Oryctolagus cuniculus: one gene and its partner. The protein of the gene in region 1 interacts with the protein of each later gene in a biochemical or structural test. Links are inferred from orthologs where the notes say so. Each region holds a gene or a part of one and is shown in the gene's direction. Other genes may lie near its edges. The genes, in order: ANXA7 and SRI.

Region 1 (4,592 bases):
CATGTACTCTGACTCCACTTAACTGCCATAGTGGGCATCTACAGAAGATCCAGTTGAGAACTAAAGGGAATAATTAGGTCCATCAAAGCAAAGGCAAGGAAAAGCAAAAGATCAGAAGAGTTTGTCAGCAGGAGGGAGGTGGGCAACGTTTCAATCAAGTCTAAGTAGATAATTGTTAGGAAGTGGGCAGTGCTTGCTAGACAGGAAGTGTGAGAAAAGAAAGGGTCTGATTCTACAGTGCCTTGTATACTAGGAAAGATGGACAAGTTGGAAGGATAAAATGGTAGTATCTGATGAGACTTGGATATTTGGGCCTACAGGTCGGGAACATACTCCTTTCTGGTGATAAGGCAGAGGGAGGGGCGAGGAACACTGTAAACAAAGGAGTAGCCTAGGCTTCTCCGGAACGATTAAATTCTGGTGGAATCTGGGGGCAGGTATGACAGAAAGGCCTTTTACTTGCCAGATACAGAGACTAGTGGGAGCTGGGGAAAGTAAGGGTACCCAGAGTCTTGGGTGGTTTGGTCTGTCGTTGAGTTTGGCAGTGACTGATAGCTGCATTCTCAGGTACTTTCCACTTTACCCGTTTTGGGTACGTGTGTATGTTGCTCTTTCCACTTGAAATCTTAATCCACCCTGCTCCACTTCCACAAGATTTTGCATAGAAATGCATGTAAAATAATAGCTTTAAGGTTCTCAAACTCGAGTGTGCATCAGAACCACCCGAGAGGACCCTACTCTGGGCCTGGAGTTTCAGTCAGTGCTTGTAAGGTCTAGCCCAAGAATTTGTATTTATTTGTTTTTTGTTGTTGTTTTGTTGTTTTTTGGTTTTTTTTTTTTGAAGATTTATTCTTTCATTTGACAGAGTTACGGACAGTGAGAGAGACAGAGAGAAAGCAGAGAGAAAGGTCTTCCCTCTACTGGTTCACTCCCCAAATGGCCGCCACGGCTGGTTCTGTGCCAATCCGAAGCCATGAGCCAGGTGCCCCCTCCTGGTCTCCTATGCGGGTGCAGGGCCCAAGCACTTGGGCCACCCTCTGCTGCCCTCCCGGGCCACAGCAGAGAGCTGGACTGGAAGAGGAGCAACCGGGACCAGAACCCGGCGCCCACATGGGATGCTGGCGCCGCAGGCAGAGGATTAACCAAGTGAGCCGTGGCGCGGGGCCCCCAAGAATTTGTATTTCTAACAGGTTTCCAGATGATGACACTGCTCTAGGGACCACATTCTGAGAACCACTGTGAAAGGTTGAGTGGTTTTTGCCCTGGAATACAAATTCCTTAACCCGTTTTCAGATATTGGTGTGAGCCCTTGTAATTGCCTCAAATGTTCACTTCTGGTGTGTGTTTAATGCTGTCATGAAGGGAGCCTAGAATCACCTAAGAACTCGCTCGCGGAGTCGTTTTTGATTAGTACATCCTCACTTCCTGGCTGTGCAGAAGAACCAATAACCACTATTTCACAGGTGGCTAATACAAAACGCTGTGCTTGTCGCCGGAAGATGCCTGAAGGACGGCATTTCACAGGCAGAGAGTAGTGTCAGCCCCTCTCCCCCGCCCACCACGGAAGGGGCTCGGGGATCCCCCGAGAACCACTGCAACTCCCTTACTCCCTAGAGCGCAGGGATTGCGGTGGGAGCCTGGGGACCGAGAAATGTGATAAAACCGGCTGGGTCACTGGAAGGGAGCGACTTTTCCCGCAGGTGGGGCCGCGGGGCGGGGCGAGGGGAAAGGTCGGCCCGCGCCGGGCTCCGGCGGGGCGGTCCCAGCTGCAGCGGCGCTGCTAACGGGCTCGCGCCGCCGCCGGCGTCCCGCCCGCCCTCGGCCGGCCCAGGCTCCATCTTGCTGACGAGCAGGTTGTGCTGTGACGCTGCCGCTCCCTCAGGTGAGCCTTGGCGGCCCCTCTTCCCACTCTCCCCCGACCCTGACCTCGCACGGCTCGGTCACCTTGCCCCCGGCCAGCTCTGGGGCCCGCGGTCCCGGAGATGTTGGCGCTTTGCGTGTGTCCCCGCTTCAGGGCGTGGCGGAGGGGCGGGGAGGGTCTAGGAGTGGGGTTGGGGGTGGGCAGCGGCTCGGGACCCGGCTGCGAGGTGGGCGCGCGTGGAGGTGGACGCGGGTGGCGGCGCCTGGGAGAGAGGAGGGGGTCTCGGCCGTCGCTTGGCGGCGCGCAGATCCGAGCGGGCAGGGACGGCCGGCCCTCAGGTGGAGGGGCTGAGGCCAGGGGTGGCCTTGCTGACGCCCCCGCAGCGGAGGCCGAGTAGGAGCGTTACTGAAGACCACGCCTGGCTGGGGACCGCGCGCTCTGGTGACACTGCATATTTAGGGAAACTTGGGACGTTGCTGTGCGTAGTTAACCCTAGGGCGTGCGCCAGCCCGAGGTCGTACGTTGCTTCGGGTTCACAACTCTTAACTACTCGAGGAAAGAGCATTCCGGGTTTGATTCCCGTTCCGTGACCTGCGGCGGACCCTTCCCAGGGAAACCAAGGCACCGAGGGAGAGCCGGCCGGTGTCTGCCGTGAGGTGACACTGTCTGCCTCTTGCCTTCAGACTCCCCGGTTGCTGCCAGCCGATGGGGAGCTGATGCGATAGTCATCTGCCCTGATTAGGTACCGAGTGTAACGATTGGCTTCTCAGGTGCGAAAGGCTTTGCGAGCGCTAGGTAGGCGGCTGCAGGAGTCGGCCCCTGCGGACCTCGACTGCTTTTCAGCCCTCAGCGCCTCTCCCAGGGCAGGGCCAGTCGTGCCCTCCACGCTTTTTTTTTTTTTTTTCCGTTCCGGACCTAGAGGCCAGTTTTGGAAAATTGTATCTGCTGTTGCCTAACTTTAGTCACTTTTCCTGTTGTTTCCCTCCTCCTCCTTTTTTTTTTTTTTTTTAACCCCACCCCCACCCCGCGTAAGTTTGCAACAGCTGCCTCTTGTCCCTGGGCTGCATGCCATCCGTGAGACGCCCATGGTGGGCCCCTCCCCTTTTACTAGGTGACTCACTGGGTGGAGATTGGTTTGGAGAAGCAACAATAATTTTCTGGTTTTAAAAAAGTGATTGCTGACAGAGAATGTTTAAAAGAAAACCTCTGGTTCACCAGTAGAGTCTCATTCACTGGGCAAGGCTAAGTCATTTGTTGAGTCACATTTTGTGATTATTTTTTTAATCTACTGTTTGAATAGATGATACAGACATAATTCTGAAAGTGCTCAAGGTACACTGGAAAGTAAGCCTCCCTCCAGGAGCCACCGTTTTATACTTCCTTGAATATCCTTTCAGGAATATTCTGTACATATACTACACGAGACAATAAGTGTATTTTTTTTACTCATAAGTTTGCAGACCTCTTGTGCACTTTTTTACTTTTTCCCCCTTCATATTAAGTGTTGGAGATGATTTAATGTTTGAATTTAAAAACTTTTTTTAAGATTTATTTTATTATTTATATGAAAGAGTTATACAGAGAGAAGGAGAGGCCGAGAGAGAGAGGTCTTCCATCCGCTGGTTCCCTCTCCAATTGGCCACAACAGGCTGCAGCTGTGCCAGTCCGAAGCCAGAAGCCAAGAGCTTCTTCCGGGTCTCCCACACAGGTGCAGGGGTCCAAGGACTTGGGCCATCGCCTGCTTTCCCAAGCCATCGCAGAGAGCTTGAATGGAAGTGGAGCAGCTGGAACCTGAACCAGTACCCTTATGGGTGGGATGTGGGCACTGCAAGTGGCAGCTTTACCCGCTATGTTACAGTGCCGGAAAAGGTTTATTTAAAAAAAATTTATTTGAAAGACGGCTTCCAGAGAGAGGGAGAGAGAACTTCTGTTCACTGTTCGACTCCCCAAATGACTGCAAAAGCTGGGACTGAACCAGGATAAAGTCAGGAGCATGGAGCTCCATCTGGGTCTTCCAAGTGGTTGGCAGGGTCTCATGCACGCCTGTCTTGTGCTGCCTTCCTAGATAATTCAGCAGGGAGCTGGATGGGAAGTGGAGGAGCAGGAACTTGAGCCAGTGTCCATTTGGGTTGCTGGTGTTGCAGGCATGCTATGCCACAATGCCAGCCCAAACTGCTTTTTTTTTTTTTTTTTGGATAGAGTTAGAGAGAAAGGTCTTCTTTCCGTTGGTTCACCTCGCAAATGGCCGCTACGGCCAGCGCTGCGCCAGTCCAAAGCCAGGAGCCAGGTGCTTCCTCCTGGTCTACCACGCGGGTGCAGGGCCCAAGCACTTAGGCCATCCTCCACTGCACTCCCGGGCCACAGCAGAGAGCTGGACTGGAAGAGGAGCAGCCGGGACTAGAACCTGGCACCCATATGGGATGCCAGTGCCGCAGGTGGAGGATTAACCAAGTGAGCCAAGGTGCCGGCCCCACTGCTTCGTTTTTAATAGCTGCGTCTTTGTCACATGGATATCCATAAGTTTTTTTTAATATCCATAAATTGTTGCATGTGTCTCTTATTGGTGGACATCTAGATTATTTTTAACCTTTTCCTGTTACAAATAATGCTGTAATGAATAGCTTGGTCCATAATTTGCACTGGTGCAATTATTTCTCTAAGATTGATTTCTGCAAATGAAATTGTGTTCTATTCCTTTATGTAATTCTTTTTTTTTTTTTTTTTTTTGACA
Region 2 (3,804 bases), on another chromosome or scaffold:
CTGAGAGGCACCGGAGTTGAGAGTCCCTGGTGCAGATGAGGGACTTCCCACCCCCACTGCTTTGAAGTCAGAACGAAGAGTCATCCATCGGCTGTCTCCCCAGAGTGTAGGAGAGTGTTGCCTCCTGCTCTCACCTCCGGGACCCCTTGCCTGTGGATCCTGAGACTGAGGGGCCAACATGGCCACAGTGCTCAGTCTTTTAATTCTGTAAACCACACGTGTGTGGGACGTTCGGCACCAGTGACGGTGCTGGGCTTCATGCTAACAGCTGGGGCCCACCCAGGGCCGGGTACAGGGGCGCACAGACACCTGTGCTAAGTGCAGAAAGCCTGCAGTGTGTGCTGTTCGGCGACGGGACGGTAATGAAGGTTAGCTCAGTCCTCACTTGGTTGGAGGAGAAAGCCTGAAGCTAGGCAGAGCTGGAAGGAGTGTTACTCCTGGAGCTGGGTGAGACGCCCACGCTCCATGTTGGACCAGCTGGGTTCAGTTCCTGGCTCTAGCTCCAGTCTCAGGGTCTACAGTGCAGACCCCAGTACGCACCAGTAATGACTCAGGCGGCTGGGTCCTGTCACCCATGTGGAAAACCTGAATTGAGTTCCTCGCTCCCAGCTTGAGCCCTGGCTGTCAGACGCACCTGGCGAGTGAACCAATAGATAAGACCCTCCCTCCCCCACCCCTGTGAGTGTCTCCTCCCCCACCCTCCCCCTCCCTCTCGAGGTTGTGTGAGTTGTGTGTGTGTTAACAGCTTGCTGGGGGTACACTAGCCTCTCCTGTGTGGCCTTGTCACCGGTGCCTTCCAGCCTCACAGCTTCCTTCTCACCCGTGCAAAGCCGCTGATTCCCATCCCGCCGCAGAAGAGCTTGGGTGGGTTTTCGGTCACCGTCCTGAGGTTTTAGGTAGATTACGAGGGGCCACACCCATGCGGTGTGTTGCGGTTTGCTTGCATTAAGTGAGTTCTGACATGCCCTGAGGACACTCCCCGGCCGCAGGCGAACAGTGATGGCCTCGGAACGTGACTGCCCCAGTGTCAGTCATCAGGCCTTCCCGGACTCAGCACACAACTCTAACAGGCATGCTTCTCCGCTTTCCTGTGCAGGGAGAGCTACCTGTGTAGGGGGAGAGGCCACGGGCTGCTTGAGACAGGAGGGCACCGCGCAGTGCCTTTCATTAAAGGAAAAAGCGAAACAAGTGACCATGCAGAAAGGAGCAGAACCAGCTAGCTGTAGTCAAGGCAGGCCTACCTCCTGCCCGCCACGGGAGGGAAAAGAAGTGGCTCCTTAGGGTGAACCGAACTCACCGTCGGCAGTGTCAAAGGCAAGAATGTTTGGACGCGCTGTGCGGTCCTTTTTTTATAAGTGCCGACTGAACTCATTAAAATCAGATTTGCTTTCTAGAAGGAATTGTGTGTATCTACCAAGAGATTTACTTTAAAACTCCATAAAATTCAGCCGTGTGTACATTGAGTTGTGTATAAAAACAAAAGTATATGAATAACCACATCTTAATTAATTCGTGCTCAGTGTAGGGTGGATTTCTGAAGCTGTGTTAATGTATTTGTGTCCTTTTCTTACCAGCTTTCAACCTGGAGACTTGTCGACTTATGGTCTCAATGCTGGATGTATCCTTTATTTTGAGTCTTGTCTAGAATGTTGTTTCCTTACAAAAAAAATTCACCCTTAAGGGACGTTATCTCAGAATTAAAACCCAGTCAACATGAAGAGACAAATGACCACTCAGAAGCCTTCTGAAATGATTTGCCTTTTTGGATGTGATTTGATATGAAAAAAGAACGAAAGGAGGTTTAGTAAGTAGAATGTTAGTCAAACATACAAGGAAGAATCAAAGTAAAACAAGCCAAGGGTACTTTAAAAACTCATGGAGGGAGGCCGGCGCTGCGGCTCACTAGGCTAATCCTCCACCTTGCGGCGCCGGCACACCAGGTTCTAGTCCCAGTCGGGGCGCCGGATTCTGTCCCAGTTGCCCCTCTTCTAGGCCAACTCTCTGCTGTGGCCAGGGAGTGCAGTGGAGGATGGCCCAAGTGCTTGGGCCCTGCACCCGCATGGGAGACCAGGAGAAGCACCTGGCTCCTGCCTTCGGATCAGCATGGTGTGCCGGCTGTGGTGGCCATTGGAGGATGAACCAAGGGCAAAGGAAGACCTTTCTCTCTGTCTCTCTCTCTCTCTCTCTCACTCTCACTCTCTCACTGTCTACTCTGCCTGTCAAAAAAATAAAAAAACTCATGGAAAGTACATATGAAAAAATGTATGCATAGGTTTCAAAATTTTCTTGCACCAAAATTACCTTTGAATTCCATTTCTTCACAAACTTTCGGAAGTCCCCCTTCCAGAAGCCAGCGGGTCAGAAAAGCTTTTGTCTGTCACGTTGCCTGCTCCATGTGAGTGACACCTGACTTCCAAGCGATGCGATTTTTCACATCAGTTTTCCTGTGCTGACCTCATGGTGTCTTCCTTCCCACCTCGTTTCCCGGAAATTGTAGTCCTTGGGTACAGGAGGGTTTCACAAGGGAATGTCTGAGCATAGAGGGCCCAGGGCTGAGGATGAACAGCCCCGCCTGGGCACCCAGTTCCTGCAACACAGTGGCTGTTCGCGTGGGCTCACGGTGGTGCTGCCGGTTCTTGGTTATCGGCTCTCACAGCTTATCTTTCCCCACAGTTATTATGGTTACTCGGAGTTTCTCCTCCATGGGCCCTTTCTGTCGTATCTTTTTTTGTTTTATCATCAATTTATTCTTATTATAGCAAGAAGCATCTGCAGTGACTTTTTTTTAGCCATTTTATCAGAAAGAACATTGAGTGCCTCTTATCCTTGAACTTGCATACAATCATTAGAAAACATTGTGAAATAAAGAAGCTGTGATCCTTGATGGCGGTTCAGAGAGATATGTCTGGCACCATGGGTTTCACTGAATTTAAAGAACTCTGGGCCGTGCTGAATGGCTGGAGACAACACTTCATCAGTTTTGACAGCGACAGGAGTGGAACCGTGGAGCCACAGGAGTTGCAGAAGGCGCTGACAGCAATGGGTGCGTATGGCCGACCCAGCACAAAGCGCGCGAAACCAGAGGGTCACTTAGGCGCAGGAATGGGGCCACCCTGCTTTGTGAACTGGGAGGACTCGTTCTTTCTGTTTTTCATTCTCAAAATAAGAGCTCCTGAAGGCAGCTTCTGGTTCTTAGTGGTGGTTGTGTCCTCTTAGCCCAAATGAATTCAGCACCTTAAAGCATCGCGCTTGGTTCTTGTGTCACGGTCTCTCTTTTGGCAGGCCTTGAGTTCTTCCGCTGGACAGTTTCTCTCCCTTTCAGGATTCAGGTTGAGTCCGCAGGCTGTGAACGCAATTGCAAAACGGTACAGCACCAACGGCAAGATCACCTTCGATGACTACATCGCCTGCTGTGTCAAGCTGAGGGCCCTCACAGGTGCGTCCCGTGAGGTCGTGCTCCCCCACCCCCAGAGCCAGGAAGACACAGCTCGTCCGACATGTCACATATCTCAGTGCCTCTGTACTTTGATTCTCCCCATTTCCCCCCTTGGTTTAGTTGGATGTCTGCCATTGCTATTAGGTGTATCCGACCAAATTGTGTCCAAAAGTCTTTTTAGGTTAGTAAGTAATCTGCCTCTAAAATAATCTTCACTAAATCTTACTAAAATATTCCAGAACATTATCTTATGAGGGTTTTCAGCCTGGAATGTGAAATGATTGAAAGGAGCAAATTAAAGTGAATCCTCACTGGGGCAGAGCCGAAATGGGTAGGATGGTTGATCACAGCCCATCTGTCGTAGTAGG

The links.
Region 2: the proteins of ANXA7 (region 1) and SRI interact in a biophysical measurement, tested with the Homo sapiens proteins (2 studies listed by BioGRID and IntAct, with this or other methods). The link is inferred for Oryctolagus cuniculus from reciprocal best matches to the Homo sapiens genes ANXA7 and SRI.

What each region holds. Positions count from the first base shown.
Region 1 is NC_091446.1:64,512,976-64,517,567, reverse strand, and holds the start of ANXA7 (annexin A7), read left to right. Parts: upstream 1-1,746; 5' UTR 1,747-1,882; intron 1,883-4,592. UniProt on the Homo sapiens protein: Calcium/phospholipid-binding protein which promotes membrane fusion and is involved in exocytosis.
Region 2 is NC_091447.1:47,180,079-47,183,882, forward strand, and holds part of SRI (sorcin), read left to right. Parts: intron 1-1,574; coding exon 1,575-1,618; intron 1,619-2,895; coding exon 2,896-3,043; intron 3,044-3,322; coding exon 3,323-3,436; intron 3,437-3,804. UniProt on the Homo sapiens protein: Calcium-binding protein that modulates excitation-contraction coupling in the heart. Contributes to calcium homeostasis in the heart sarcoplasmic reticulum. Modulates the activity of RYR2 calcium channels.